4 linked regions of the Coturnix japonica genome follow. The protein of the gene in region 1 binds, or shares a complex with, the protein of each later gene. Links are inferred from orthologs where the notes say so. Each region holds a gene or a part of one and is shown on either strand. Other genes may lie near its edges.

Evidence for each region.
Region 2: RNF113A (region 1) and PPIL2 share a complex: the UniProt entries of both Homo sapiens proteins name them as parts of the minor spliceosome. The link is inferred for Coturnix japonica from reciprocal best matches to the Homo sapiens genes RNF113A and PPIL2.
Region 3: RNF113A (region 1) and spliceosome-associated protein CWC27 homolog share a complex: the UniProt entries of both Homo sapiens proteins name them as parts of the minor spliceosome. The link is inferred for Coturnix japonica from reciprocal best matches to the Homo sapiens genes RNF113A and CWC27.
Region 4: RNF113A (region 1) and CDC40 share a complex: the UniProt entries of both Homo sapiens proteins name them as parts of the pre-catalytic and catalytic spliceosome complex. The link is inferred for Coturnix japonica from reciprocal best matches to the Homo sapiens genes RNF113A and CDC40.

What each region holds. Positions count from the first base shown.
Region 1 is NC_029542.1:2,233,385-2,236,950, reverse strand, and holds part of RNF113A (E3 ubiquitin-protein ligase RNF113A), read right to left. Parts: intron 2,837-3,566; coding exon 2,743-2,836; intron 2,334-2,742; coding exon 2,227-2,333; intron 1,791-2,226; coding exon 1,705-1,790; 3' UTR 1,531-1,704; intron 24-1,530; exon of another isoform or gene 1-23. UniProt on the Homo sapiens protein: Required for pre-mRNA splicing as component of the spliceosome. As a component of the minor spliceosome, involved in the splicing of U12-type introns in pre-mRNAs. E3 ubiquitin-protein ligase that catalyzes the transfer of ubiquitin onto target proteins.
Region 2 is NC_029530.1:456,506-460,071, forward strand, and holds part of PPIL2 (RING-type E3 ubiquitin-protein ligase PPIL2), read right to left. Parts: intron 268-3,566; coding exon 150-267; intron 1-149. UniProt on the Homo sapiens protein: Has a ubiquitin-protein ligase activity acting as an E3 ubiquitin protein ligase or as an ubiquitin-ubiquitin ligase promoting elongation of ubiquitin chains on substrates.
Region 3 is NC_029547.1:21,417,342-21,421,599, forward strand, and holds the start of spliceosome-associated protein CWC27 homolog, read left to right. Parts: upstream 1-1,394; coding exon 1,395-1,436; intron 1,437-2,080; coding exon 2,081-2,177; intron 2,178-2,637; coding exon 2,638-2,750; intron 2,751-4,258. Other genes in the region: protein SREK1IP1, read right to left, coding at 1-41, 1,004-1,405. UniProt on the Homo sapiens protein: As part of the spliceosome, plays a role in pre-mRNA splicing. Probable inactive PPIase with no peptidyl-prolyl cis-trans isomerase activity. As a component of the minor spliceosome, involved in the splicing of U12-type introns in pre-mRNAs.
Region 4 is NC_029518.1:60,620,766-60,624,331, forward strand, and holds part of CDC40 (pre-mRNA-processing factor 17), read right to left. Parts: intron 2,830-3,566; coding exon 2,690-2,829; intron 2,064-2,689; coding exon 1,967-2,063; intron 522-1,966; coding exon 382-521; intron 1-381. UniProt on the Homo sapiens protein: Required for pre-mRNA splicing as component of the activated spliceosome. Plays an important role in embryonic brain development; this function does not require proline isomerization.

The sequences.
Region 1 (3,566 bases):
AGGATTGGCTTCCTCGTCTCACAGGTGAAGGCTGCACGACCCTATTTTTTTATATGTATTTTTTAAAGGGTGCCTTAGAGTTAAGAAGGGGAGGAAAGCAGTTCTTAGTTTTGGGCATTTTCTTAGAGCTAGTCGGATTTGTGTTGTTACTGGGTAACTTCTGAGGGTGCAGAAAGGAGTGCATTCTTAAGCTTGGTCACTTCTTTATGGTGGAAAATGAGAACCAGAAGGTAACCTGAGGCTGTCGCGGGCACATTCACTGCACTGGGCTTTCCTCTGCACTTCTGAGCTCTGCTCCAGCTCTGGAGAGAGCTTTTAAGACTCCTCTCAGTTGAGGCTGTGTGCTCTGAGCTCCAGGTCAGATGCCATCCCCATCTCCTCCCATGGCTGCCTGGGTCATCAAATCCTAATGTGTAATTCTGTGCAACATACCAGCTTTTCTAACCTCCCACAGCACATCCAGCTCAGCCTCCTGTTAGCTGGGCTGCTTTTACAGCATGGAATATCCATACCAGCCCGTGCTCAGTGACTTGGCATGGAGGGAAAGTAATTTTCACACCAAATCCTCTTACTCACAAAACACCTCTTTGAATGTTACGCTCACTGATCTAAGCCCTCTGTTGCCATTGCTGTACCATCATCCCCAAATGAATGAGATATAAAAATCCTTTGCTTGCTTTTCACACAGCTTCCCTTGATCCCTGGCTGTGACAGCTCACAGCATTTGGTTTTGGAGGCGTGTTTAAGGCTTTTTAGTTTGACCTTTCCAAGGACCACAGGTGCTGGAGCTCTTTCCACTCTCAAATGAAGCACTGGGATTCCAGCCCTGTAAGCGTGCTTGATGGGAGGAGCGGTGCTGACAGCAGGTCCTTCTGTTTGTAAACGACTTGAAGCCAGATGAAATTTGTTACTCTAGTTTTTGGGTTTTTTTTTTTTTTTTTTCCAAAATAAAATATTTCTGAAGTTTGTAAGTCTGCTGTTTCTGCAGGGTGATGGAAGCTTATGCTCTTCTCAGCTCCATACTTAGGAGGTTGCATCTTGCAGTTCAACCCATTGTGAAGTTTCCTTCTTGCCCAAATTCTTATCCCCATCCCACAGGCCTGGACAGAGCTGGTTGCAGCAAGGGAAAAATCATTGAGAGAAGTACCACTGATGGCATAAAACCTTGCATTAGGGACATGGTACAGCTGCTGGCTTCCTCCCCAAGGGATGATTCCACAGTGGTATCACTCTCTGAAGTCCTGAATCCTGTTTGATGTTACTTTAAGCTCTTGACTTCTAGAGATCAAAAGGCAGCAGAAAAGATGGGAGGGAATACGCTCCTCTGAGCTGCAATAAATCACAACTAACTGCAGCAGTCTGGCTTACCTCCCAAACAGCATTTCCAAAGTGACAGATAAACTTGGTACAAGCCAATAGTTTTCATTCTTCTCTCTGCTTTTAGCATTTGATTTGACTGAACAAAATTCAGACCCTCCCTCCCCAGGCCCTCGTGGTCCTACTAATGGCACAGAAGACAACTCAGCTTACCCATTCTGTCCTGTGTCTTCTCTGACAACTGGCACCACTCGTGCCCCCATTTTAACAAGGCCTGGTTGGATGAACCACCAATGGCTGCAGCTGCTGGCCCAAAGGCAAGTGCTGTGATCTGTGCATTCTTCCCATGAAAACTTTATTGGGCTCCATACAAAACAGAGTGCTTTGCTAGTGTGGGTCTTCACCATGTTCTGAGTGGTCTGACTCCTCCTCTTCCTCCTCCCCTTTGTGTTTTTCCAATTTTGCCATGAGCTCTGAAAAGCAGGAAGATGCAGGATGAGATTCCAGGTGCAACATGGAATGGCCAGTAGCAAAGCTGGATGCCCAGGACCTGCCAACACAGCTCTGTCCTGGAACCAAAGCACCTACCAAAAATCACTCATCTGCACAAAAGCTAAGCCAGGAACTACCACCAAACACTGAGCCCTTCAGTGGGGCTTCAGATGCTAAAGTTCCAGGCTCTGTCAGTGGATTACTGACCAGAAGAGCTACTGTCTGCACTCCCAGCACCCTCACCAGAAATCAGTCTCCCCCTCTGGGCAAACACAAACACTCTTTTTTTACCCCTGTGGTGGCACCCAGGCCCTGATGTGGTGTTTCCAAGCACTGAGAGAAGTTCTGCCTGTGAGCTCCACCTTGCAGCCGAATGCTGTGATCATACAGCAGCTCTATCCCACAGGTGGCCGTTACCTTTGGCTGGGTTGAAGACTCCATTGGTCTGCTTATCACACACGTAACAGCGCTGGGATTTGCGATAGTGTTGGAGGGCACAGCTCTCACAGAAGTAATGCCTGCACCTGTATGGAGAAACAGACGGTACTGCCAGTCACCAGATACAACTGCTGCATCCAGGAGTTAGAGATCATCAACTACTGAGCCCTGAGGGATGCAAAAATAAGCTGGATGTACAGAGCCCTATGCAGCATCAGCTCTCCCAGAGACAGCACAGGTGCAAGGTGATGTGATCAGGCAGCATCTATAGAAATATAAAAGGTTCTTGGACAACAAAGGCTTGAGACCCCACCAAGTTGATGCTTGAGATGTAGTTATGAAACTCCCTGCATAGCAGAGGCTTTCCCCACCCACCAGAAAAGCAAACAAGCGTGCTCCTTCCACCAGCATGTGGACAATGCCAGTGTTTGCTACCAAAGAGAATGACTGACTGACTGAAGGACTCAGCCCACTACAGATGTTTTGGCTCCTTACTTGGTGACCACGGGGTTCTTGAAGGAACTTCTGCAGATGAAGCATTTGAAAGGCATATCCTCCTCATCGCTGCTCACCTCATAGTTCTCTTCATCTGCACGAGGGAAAATTAACCAGACTGGAACAAGAGCAGAGGCAGCCAGGCCAGCAGATGCACAGGGCATGAAATATGGAACATGGAGAAAGTACAGCAGGTGGGATGGACTCTGCTGGAAACAACAGCATCTGGGTGTCACTGATGTCAGTAACGTGTGTGGGATTGAGATATAATTAGGTCTAATGAGCCAGTGTGCTCGTTGCTCATCTCACAGGAGCACATTTTGTGCGACACCCACTTGCTGCTATAAACAGACTCATCCTCCAGTTCCTTATTTTTCACATTTTTTTCCAAAACAGCTGCTATTGAACTCTTCAACTCAGAGAACATCCCCTGCAGCTGCCCAGCAGTTCATAAGCTACACTTGGCTGCATCCCTGGGCCACAGATATGGATTCTGAGTGAGAAACAGGGATGTGACAAAGCATGAAAGCATTCCATCTGTGCTGCAGGAGATGGCTCTATCTATCTCCCCATCTCCACGCTGCTTGCTGCTGGGATTCATACAACAACAGACTGCTATATTTTGTATAGACAGACAGAGCAAATTATCCCCCCTGGTAGCAGTCAGTGGTAATCTGAAAGCAGCAGATTTGCACAGCACTGGCAGTTGTTATTGGAGCTAAGGTAACTCCACAGCAGAGAGTTCCATAGCTTTGTGGAATGAGGAATTCTCTCCATCTAATCAACCCATTGCTTGTGCAGTTTGAGACAGCAAAGTCTGTAAG
Region 2 (3,566 bases), on another chromosome or scaffold:
ACACTGAACACCAAGTCCTTTTCTCTGACAGTATTTCACCTGACTGAACTTTAAGGAGCAGCTCATAAAATGTCATTTATTTTCTCCACAGCAGAAGGCACAATGTCCAGAAGGAAAATGTAAAATACAAAGTACAAGTGACAACTTACAACTGCGATTTGTTGGTGTTAGGCCCCGAATTGGCCATACTAAGGATACCACGTCCTGTATGGGACAAGTTGGGCTTGAATTCATCTTTAAATGGTTTTCCCCAATACGACTCTCCTCCTGAAAAAAAAGAAAAAATGATAGATGACATGTTTGTTTTCATTAGCCTCCCAGTACATCTTACATCAGACACCGGCAGTAAATTCCAAGTTCCTGGGGCTTCTGATTGCTGTGTTTGTAATATATTCCTACCTCATCCCTATGACTAGGCCAGTATCTGAGCACGCCCTTGAAATCAGATGTCTGTAACCAGCAATACAATTCTGTGCCTCCGCACCACTATCATCTGCAACAGATGAGACTGTTTATCAGCAGCATTACGTATCATGTGGCAAAGAACTGCCGAGGATTCATTTATTTGTACTGCTCATCCACCACAGTGTTTCTTTTTTGAGACATTCAGTCTTCAAGTGTGGTTGACTGAAAAAAGACAGGGAGCAAAGAATTACTGATTTAACTGCACTCTGGATACAGCAATTCTTCCAAAATTATAACATTAGGGAGATGGAATATGTTTACAGCATCAACTAAGAATAGGGACTACAAGCTCAAAAGCTTCTGGATAAACAATGAAAAAAAGATGATTTATATTCCTTCAAAATAAATAGATATCTCAGACTAGATACATGGATGATGTAAACCCTTAAATACAATTAAGTCTGTGGATGATAAAACTTTGTGCCAGCCACAGACCCAGCCCTCAAAACTGATTTCTGCATCTGTGGATAGAAAAGAGGGTCCGTGAGACTTCTCCAGGCTGTCATTTTTACATTATTTATGACAGACCTGCCATTTTCATTTGCACTTTCCTCCAGGATCGTTCTTAATAAGAAAAACGAAGGCTGAGATGAGTCACAATTTTACGGCCAAATCCATAATCTTGCTTGACAAACCATGAAAAATATATCACCTTAGGACAGGATTAAAAATAAAACAAACACAAGTACCCAGACAGGCATCAAAGACTGGTCCATGTGCAGAACCACTCAAGAGTCCTCTTGAGTCACTGAATCACTTACAGAGCAGAGGTCAGTAAAAGACCTGCAGCATGCAGTGGCTACTTGCACATGTAACACACAGAGGCTACTTGATGACACAGCTGCACGGACAAGCAGCAAATTAAGTGAGAGCATAAAACAAATTCCTACTGAAAACCACGTGTGGAAAATCACAAGTGTGCATCAAACGAGAGCAGAGTTCCAGATGATACCACCAGAACAATGACTCACAGGTGGGCAGCTGCAGGTGGAATTAACTAACCCAGCAATTCTGGAAGAAAATGACCCACTTAAAAACCCAATTAATCATGTTCAAAAGACCTATTAATAGAGTTGAGTGCTGCCCACTCTGCAGTTTTACAAGAGGAAGCAAAAGAGTACAAACCCTGCAGGACTTTCTGTAATCAGGAGGAGAAAAGGAGCCACTACTTCAATTCAGCTCAATTACATCAGCTTGATTCTGTACAACAACCCCCTCCCACACTGCCTGAAAGGTGCACGGTAAAGCTGCAGCACACCCTGCCGTCATGAAGATGGATCCCAGCACCAGCTCTTCTGGCCAAATCGCATTCAGCCTACTACAAAATGCCAACATTTTGCTTTGATAATGAATATCCCTGTGTGTTTCTATGGGAGGTCACTCGTGTACTGCCTATTACCTGCCTCACTCTGTAGTTGCACACAAACAAGCAGGGATTGGAATGCAGCAGGGCTGCACGTGCTGCCCAAAACCAACAGCACACCTGCACAGCATGCAGGCTCCACTGGCTGCACTGTGCTCTGTGCACTGCATTCCTCTCCCACTTTGCCTTGCTCAGCTCTGCCCGTCGCACTGCAGCCATCCAGACACAGCCTGCAGCCCTGCAGCCTTGGCCCCACTCCTCACCAGCACTGCAGCTCACACACCTCTGCCCCCAGACACACTCATGTTCCACACTCCCTTCCAGAAATAGGTAACATTGCTTCAAAGGATGTCCTGAAGGAACTCCTCATCATTTGCAAAGCAGATGCACTATCAGCCTTAACCCAGAGGAGTAGAAATTCTCAGATGATATGCAAACATAAGCAGATGCGATGGAGATGGCATGTAGCAGCAAGCGGCCGAAGCCCCGAGCCTGCTGCACCCTTCACAGGTTCAGCAGATGCTGAATGATGGCCTCATCAGGCTGCTGGAGGTGGTGGAATGGAGATGGGTGCAAGGCCTGGCAGCACGGCTGTCACGGTGAGGTGGGGATGCAGCGAAGGTGCTGAGACACCAATGGAATAGATGGAATTGGAATGATTTTACTTTATTCTTCAAACACAAGAACCAAACGTTTTCCCTTTAAATTAAAAATGGCCAATTAAAAATTGCTGTTTGTCAAACAATTCCTGACCTCTGGAATTGTTCCAAGCTTCCAGCATCTACATGAAGCAGCAGCCAGAAGACAGCGAGTTAAAAGGACTATGTTTTTAATTACTGAAACCCAGAATCACTTTCTCCATGAGAATTAAGCACAAATCCCTCATTAGCCTACTGGCACAGCAGCACAGTGCCTAATGCTCAGCCAGCACAGCCTGGAACAGGAATTATAGACCTTTGCATTTTCCATTATATAGAAGAGCTCAATGTAAGTTTGAGAAAACAGCTCACAGGCCACAAGCCGGCACTGATAAAGATGAGGCATTCTGAAGTACCAAACAGACTGCACTGTGTTTATTCTCAGCATGGCTGGGAGGCGTGGATGTGCCACCTCCACTGCGACCAACAGCAGAGCGGCTGCAAACAGAGCAGGAGGAGGTGGAACCGTGTGGTCATTCCCTGCACATGCCATAAGCAGAGCAGGCTCCTCCTTTATCCCCCAGATTTTCCTCTGAGGTTGCATAGATCACCAGTGACTATATATGGAAACCCTATGATGCAAAATCTGAACCCAAAGCCAACTTCCCAGGCCGCAAGCAGAGCCCATGGAAAACAAGAATCGTGTCTGGGTGTTCCATTCAGCGCTGCCTGGCACTCACCTGCCCCACACTTTGCCCCCAGATAAGATAATCTTCTGTCACAGTGGAATCGTGCCCCTGTGCACTTGAAATGTTATTGAGCTGCCATTACAGGAAGTGCTGTAAAATACTTTGGAGACTTCTGTGCCAAAATCAAAGAGGTTCACAAGGGAGCAGACAGGGCTTCACTCTGGACCAGGACTGGGAAGGTGACAGCTGAGCTGTGACTGTGCCCTGGAGCAAGGTTAGTTATCCAGCCTCATTTCCGCATACTGTGCTAATAGGAAAGGTGAATAGATATCACCTGCCAAATGCAGCAATCAAATATTAGTAAGTATAAAAGTCATATTTTCAGATTGTGTTTCAAACTAAAAATAGCTT
Region 3 (4,258 bases), on another chromosome or scaffold:
ACATTTCTTGCATCCTGCTCTGATGTTATCCTTATTTGCACCTGAAACAGAAAATTTCATCAATCACTTGTTACTAAACATAAGTCTTAAAAGTTCCCTTTAAATCTGGCTTAGTAACTCTTCTGGATTTAGGCAAAGTTGCTCTTTGTGCCTACGCCCTCAGTTAAGAAGATCAGCAAGATCTAACTCACAAGACAAAGCCTGGAGACCTGTTGCCCACAAAAGGATTGCTGAGTCAATTCATAATTCTAAGCAAAACAGCATTTCCAAAATCAAAGGGTATCTTTCTATCCAGTATGAAAAATATGGAAAATTAAACAGTTGTATACACAGCTTTCCATAAAACTAGTTCCTTTATTTAAATAATCAACCTAACATAAGAAGAAAACTATGAAATTAGGGAACCAGAAAGGGGGTACATCAGCATCACGAGTTTAAATTTTGATTTATTAAGAGAAGTACCATCTTTAGTAAATCCTACTAAAAGAACCAGAGGAGCCTTGAAGTCCCATGGTTTGCTGTTGAACTCACAGCAAGGTTCAAGCTTACTCAATTTTCTCCAGTCAAACCCATACCTCAGGATGACACAGGCTGAATACCTGGTGAAATACACAATTTCTGCCCGCGCTGGCTGCACCACTGCTCTTAAACCCTTCATTTAAACAACCTAGCTGCAGGCAGGCGCTAATCTGGGGCACAAGGAGAAAAAAAACATGCGGAACGATGCCATTCTTGGGACCCCTAAGGAAGGCAGCGTACACCTGCAGAAGGCAGGAGCGCAGCCGTGGGCCTCAGCACCCACAAAACTACAGGCGAGGGCCGCATACGGAGCGCAGGAGGGCTGCTGGAGCCCCCAGCCCCGCCGTACCATTGCAGCTCTGCAGGCTGGGAAACGCACCGCAAGCCGCTCCTCGGGCCCCACCACCTCACGAACAGCGCTGCCGACCCTCCCCCTCCGCACGCCTCCCAGCCATCCGCCCCGCAGCCCCGCGGCTCTCCTCACCCGGCAGAGCCATGGCGTCCTCCACACAGCCGGGCCCAGGAACAACGCAGCGCCTGTCCCCGCCGGAAGGATTTGGCCGGAGCACTCTCGGGCCGCGCCACTCGCGGGGAGGACGGGGTGCTCAGTACCGAGCCGGGGCGACGAGAAGCGAGCGGAGGTGTCTGGAAAAGCCTTCACATCCTTTCGGAAAGAATTCACTGAGTGATTCCCCCATCGGAGGAGCAATTCTTTCTCCCACAGCTCTGAGCAGTCACACCTTCCCCCCGCCACATTGTACTGTGTAGAGGCGCCCAAGATGGCGGCGGGCTGCGGGCAGTAGCGCGGGTAGAGAGGCAGTGTTGTTAGCGTTGGGCTCGGGCGGTGCGTTCCGCCACGACACCCCTTCCTCAGCATGAGCAACATCTACATCCAGGAGCCCCCCACCAACGGCAAGGTGAGGATCCTGCGGGCAGCGAGGGCGAGGGGCACGAGTCCGGTGTTATCGCTCTCGGACGCTTATGTTTACCGCTTTGATAGGAATTCGCATTTATTGATCTGTATTGATGTCTCTTGTAATAAGAGCGTGCCGCTAGAGGTTTAAGGCATATTCCTTTTCTGTGTTGTCTCACTGTGGAAATACTAAGAGTATTTAATATTCTACCCTCCGTTAGTTGTCATCCCCCACCAGCTCAGGCTGCCCAGCGCCCCATCCAGCATGGCCTTGACTCCTCCAGGGATGGAGCACCCACTGCTTCTCTGGGCAGTGCCTCACCACCCTCTGAGTAAATAACTTTTGCCACTCAGCCAATCTAAATCTTCTCTCTTCCACTTTAAAACCATCCGCCCTTGTCCTGTCACTAACTACGCATGTAAAAAATTGGTTTCCTTCTTGTTTATATCCTTACTTTAAATACTGGAAGGCTGTAGTGAGGTCTCCCAGGAGCCTTCTCCAGAACAAGTCCGACTCCTGCTTACTACTTATCTACGGCTGTTGTTAATGTTATGAATTTAGGAGTGTTTTTTAACTTAGTAGTAATATTTGTTTATTAGTGTCTAAGTTGCAATAAAACTAATGGTTTGTTTATAAAAATTTTGCAGGTCTTGCTGAGAACTACAGCAGGAGATATCGATATAGAATTGTGGTCAAAAGAAGCACCAAAAGCATGTCGAAATTTTATCCAGCTTTGTATGGAAGGTAATGGCAAAATGGGGTAGGACTTGTTAGAATTATTTCATGTGCAATATTGGTATTTTGGTGACAGTTATGGAAAAGGTAGGTCATAAGTAAGTTTTAATATGTTAACTAATTATTTATATTATCTGCTATCCAGACCAAGAACGTTTTTTTAAAGTCATTAAGGAAACCAATGGATGTGAAAAGTACAATTTTTTGGTGGTTTTCTTAGATGTAGGAGTTGTCACATGTTTAGGAAGGCTTGTCTTCAGGAAGTTTATACAAAGTATTGCAGCTTTAATGAACGTAGAAAATGTCAGTGATGCTGTGTTTGGACTTCTCCTGTTAAGGTCATTCCTGTATCATGTGCTTACTGCATGTTCATTTCTTCATGAGTCACTGATATGTCTGCATAATCTCTATTGAGGTGTGATTTTAGATAACTTAAATGTATTTAATGTATTTTCTCTTTCTTTTTTAGAGTATTACAATAATACAATATTTCACAGAGTTGTGCCAGGTTTTATAGTGCAGGGAGGTGATCCCACTGGTACTGGGTCAGGTGGAGATTCAATCTATGGAGCTCCCTTCAAGGTATGTAGCTGTATATCTTGTGCATGTTGATGTTTGCTTAGTCTCTGGCAGTTGTCCTTGCTACTGTGTGTGAATTTTTTGAGTAAACAAATTTTGTATAAGGAATGCAGTTTATTCTATATTTTATGCTAAAGTTCATTCATATTCTAAATTTGCACATGCTTCAATATTTTTGAATGTGCATTTTAGAATTGAGTGTTCTTAAATCTGTCTGTTTCAGTTCTGTGATAAACGTATAACCCTATTAATGTTCACTTCAACAAGATAAAACTAGGAGAGAAAACTGTTCAGAGCAAGTGTTTTAACTTCATAAAGTTAAACAAGAACAAGTGCAGTGTCCTGCTCCTATATCGGGACAATCCTAAGCACAAGTACAGGCTGAGCAGAGAATGGATTGAGAGCAGCTGTGAGGGGTGCTGGTTGATGAGAAACTCAGTGTGAGCCCACAGTGGGAAATGCAGCCCAGAAGGCTGACTGTATCCTGGGCTTCACTGAAAGGGGGACATGGCTGTCCTCTGCTCTGCCCTCATGAGGCCCCATCTAAACTATTTCATGCAGGTCTAGAGTCTCCAGCACAAGAAGGAACATAGGAAGCAGGCCCAGAGGATGCCACAAAGGTGATCAGAGGGCAGGAGCACATCTGTGAAGAATGGTTAAGGGAGCTGGACTTGTTCAGCTTGGAGAAGAGAGGAGTCTGCAGAGGCCATACAATGGTCTTCCAGTACCTAAAGGGGACCTACAGGAAAGCTGAAGAAGGACTCTTTGTCAGGGAGTGATAAAAGATAGGGGTATTTTGTACAGTAGATTTAAGTTAGACATTAGGAAGAAATTCTTAACTCAGAAAGTGATAAGGCAATGAACAGATGGCCTGCAAAAGCTATGGATGCGTCATCCCTGTGAGTGCTTAAGGCCAGGCTGGATGGGGCTTTGGATAACCCAGTCTAGTGAGAGGTAACCCTGCCCATGACAGGGGGTTGGAACTGGGTGATATATAAGGTCCCAAAGCATTCTATGGATTTGTGTGTCAAACTGAGGAGCAGAAATGTGAGTTATGTACATTTTACCTGAACTGGCAAAGGTCTGTAAATGTAGTCACTAGTATTACTGATAGTAGCACATCTCATCTCTTGGTCAGGGTCTTCAGATTCTGAGTGAGGTTACACATGCACAGTAGCTGTGCTCTAGTTCTGGTTCAGAATTTCAGATAGGGTAAACATCTTTAGCTGGCGACTGAACCTGTGTGACCTTTCTGGGCCTTCAGTCCAACAGCTGTAATTGTAATGCAAATCTGAAGTTTGTGGGAGGGATCGCTGCCTGAGAAAACATCAAAACAAATGTTTCTAATACTGTAGTAACAACACTTCTTTAATTTGGTATTATTGTTAAGTGTGAAAGCACTTAGGAGTTTTATACTACTGTGGTATTAATGCATTACTTATCAATATCATCTTCATTTGGTGCCCTCTTTTGTTTTCTCATGGTCCTGAAAATGTTCTTCCTTTGGATTT
Region 4 (3,566 bases), on another chromosome or scaffold:
TTCAACTTTTCATTGGTTTGATGTGAAATAGCATTTAAGTACTTCTAGTCTACAAATGCATTTTCTGTTATCTCTAGAATTAGTCTTTCTCTTATTCACGTGGCAATTTAGTAAATAACTCAAAACCCCGCAAAGGTGAATGAAGAATATTCGTTCCTTCAAAAGATGTGGGGATGCTCATGAAAAAAGTTTATACAGATATCACAAACAATCATATCTGACCATGTGAACACCTTGTGCAGGTGTATAATGCTGCCAACTGTGTGCACGATGTCATAAACGAGAAAAAACCTCTGTTTCTTCTACCAATGATTCAGTTTTATATAAGTTCAGATTGAAAACAAAGTGCATTTTTATGAGGTACATTCCAAAACTTCCTACCTTTGTATGTCCAGACCATACATGGATTTGTTTCTTTGGAAGATAGCACTTCTCAGGTGGCATTGTGGAACGGAGATTAACTCCAACATCTTGAGGAACATGAAGGTAAGATCTCCCCTGATAGTCGTACATTTCTTTAACTAAAAAGGTAAATGGAGAATTCAGAGAATCTCAGAGATTGTATTTTAAGGGGTAATAATCTTAGGAAGATTCAACTAACACATATTTAAGGCTTTTTTCAACACAGCTGACTTGCTCTGAAGAAGGGTGGGAAGAGGGATGATAAGAAAATAAATCCATGTCATAGGATATGGATTCTGATGAGTTGTACTTAAATGAAGCCATTTCAGCAAATCTGATTGGAAGCTGATAATTTGAACAAAACAATCTCCCCCTTACCCAGCTTACCTCAAAATGCCACAGTGTTCCTGAAGACAATAGGGGTTTGCTCGCACTAACTCCACACAGTTTATAACCTGCACTCTAACTCTGGCATTTGCTTGCAATTTACATTCCACCGGGCTCTGTGCTTTAACAGTCATTTCAGTAGAATTGCAAATCAGAGAAAAAAAAGATCCTTCATCAATATGAACCAACTGCTCCACCAATAGCAGTCAGCAGCTAACATCTGTTCTTTAACTAGATTTCGCAGAAGTGCCTGGATGCTCACACATGCAGGGTGCATTGTCCTGTAAATTGATATTCCAAAGTAGACTCATCTGTTGACATTAAGATGTGCGCTGATTTAATTAATTTATGTTTCTTGGGTATTGATATGACTGTTTTGCTTGTACAAATGACCTTCTGCTCAGCATCAATGTCTGAAGGTGTCTACAGAGCAGTGTTTTTTTCTGGAAGGCTTCAGTTTGAGAAGATTAAAATTTATCTTGTAAGGACTTCGACTGTGAAACTTTAGGTGATGGTACACAGACAGGTGGAACTACCTGTGCCAAGTGTTGCCACGTAGGACAGTTTTGCATACAGACAGATGAAACAACAGTTTCCAAAAATCACTTAATTTTACTTACTTTATTTTCTCATGTTTTTCTTTGAGGTTATCGTATGCTATAGGCCTCAACAGGGTAATCATTTGATAAATAATTATTCATAGTATGATAGCAAGAATGTTCACATTAAGAATGGAGGAAGTACAGGGTCCAAGTGATTTTCTAAATGTTATGTCTGTAATTCAAAGCACTACTTGCTGATAAAAGTACCAAAAGACAAAACTGTGGTCATTCCGAAGCTCAGGCTAAACCAAGCACATAATCTCACCGTTTTTTTCCTTTCTATAATATGAAGAAGATATGCATACCTACTGAGATTAAAAAGAAATAAATAAAACCAGTACCCTGAAAGATGACATTTCCACGCTGCTCTTCACAGTATGATGTGGAATTGGTCCAAGCTTATCTCTTTCCTTGCCCTTTATGCTTATGCCTGTGAGTGCTATTATCTCCAAAACAGAAACATCAAGGTGCCTCAGCAGTTTTGCTGAGGCTGTCTGCCATCCTTACTAATTAACACAGCAGGCAAGAAAACACGGTGTGCAGGAAAATGAGAACAGGCAGGAAGATGCCATTACCGTGTAATATAGTCTTCTCCTCTCCAGGTTTATCATCTTCTAGTTTTCCTCTCTTCTGCCTCTTAGCTGTTATTTCATCCAACTCCTTCTGTTCTTCCTGGAAAAATAAAACATGATCTTGACTTTTAACAAAATAAACGTTCAGAACGATTTAACAAAATCCAAAACTGCATTACTGTTTATTTGCTATTAAGAATACACATATTGCTAAGTGAGATCAGAAATATTTCTAAGCATCAATAGAATACCTTTATCAAAAGCAGATTAGCTTGAAAAGCTAAGTACACTGAAAATAATTAAATATAATCATTTTATTTACAGACTATGGCTAAGCACCATGGACTCAATGTGAAGGACATTTATTGGTTGTGTTGTTGCTTTAAAGAAAAGAACAACAACAAAAAGACCAATCTCCCTTTTCCTTAAAATAAATATAAATTTACTTTCATTTCTTTCCAAGTTGCTCCTGTTTATAAGGATCTTTCGTCAGACTCTACATGTAACACACAGATATAATTCATTCTATTTCCAGTCTTTCAATACAATGGAATGCACAACATTCAGAACCCCCCTATTCACCGTTAGAACTGGGAATGTTTCTATCACCCTAAAGCACACCTTCTGGTTGAGACACACTGGATCTCTATTAAAACCACCACATAATATATTATTGCATCACGATGCACTAGCAGTTTGTGTTTACAGTCTTAAAGCAGTACTTACTTCTGAAGGTTTGGCTACTTCTTTTTCGTCAACGTACTTCGCCCATGGTCCCAGAAAACCATCAATGTTAGATGCATCATTCTCCTTGAATTTCTTCCTTTTTTCAATTTTCTTTTGTCCCGTTTCAAACACTGTTAAACCTAGAGAAAGAAACAATACACTGCTTAGCTGCTCATACAGATAACATGCCTCAGCATCATAGGTCTCATCACAACAATCTAAAACAAACACCACCACCACCACACAACAACACTATCACCATCACTCCATCCAACACACACAGGAAAATGGAGAACACACTTAGGGGCCAAAGCACTGCTGACTTATTAAATTATGAACACTGCTACATGTACAGTAACAGGAGAGCCACTAAAAACTAGTATTTCATCAAATATGTGCCCATGCATTTGTATCACTACGTCTGCAGACTGCACGAATGTATTGATTTTCATACTTTAAATAGTGCAGACTTGGAAAAATTAGAGCTCCTGACCCCCCCCCTCCCCACCTCTGTCAGTTTTAAACAAAATCCACAAGGAAGCAAAAAGAAAAATTAAAAAAAAAAACAACAAAAACCAACAAACAACCAAACATAAAAATCTCCTCAAATCTCAATTACAACTGCCTGCTGTAATTCAGTTAAAATTCAGTTATCTATTTCTGAACACCATCCTACTCTTTCATATAAATGCCAGCTTATCACAAATTCTGTGCCCTAAGAACTTCATCCATCAAAACCAGCGTGCATTTTTCACATAATGCTTTCCTACAGCATCAGTAATACTCCTCTAGGGAAAGGGAGACAGAAAGGATTTTTTGTAAACAAAGAAAATAGGCAACGTAGAACTTAATAAACAATAGCAATATATGAAAGACT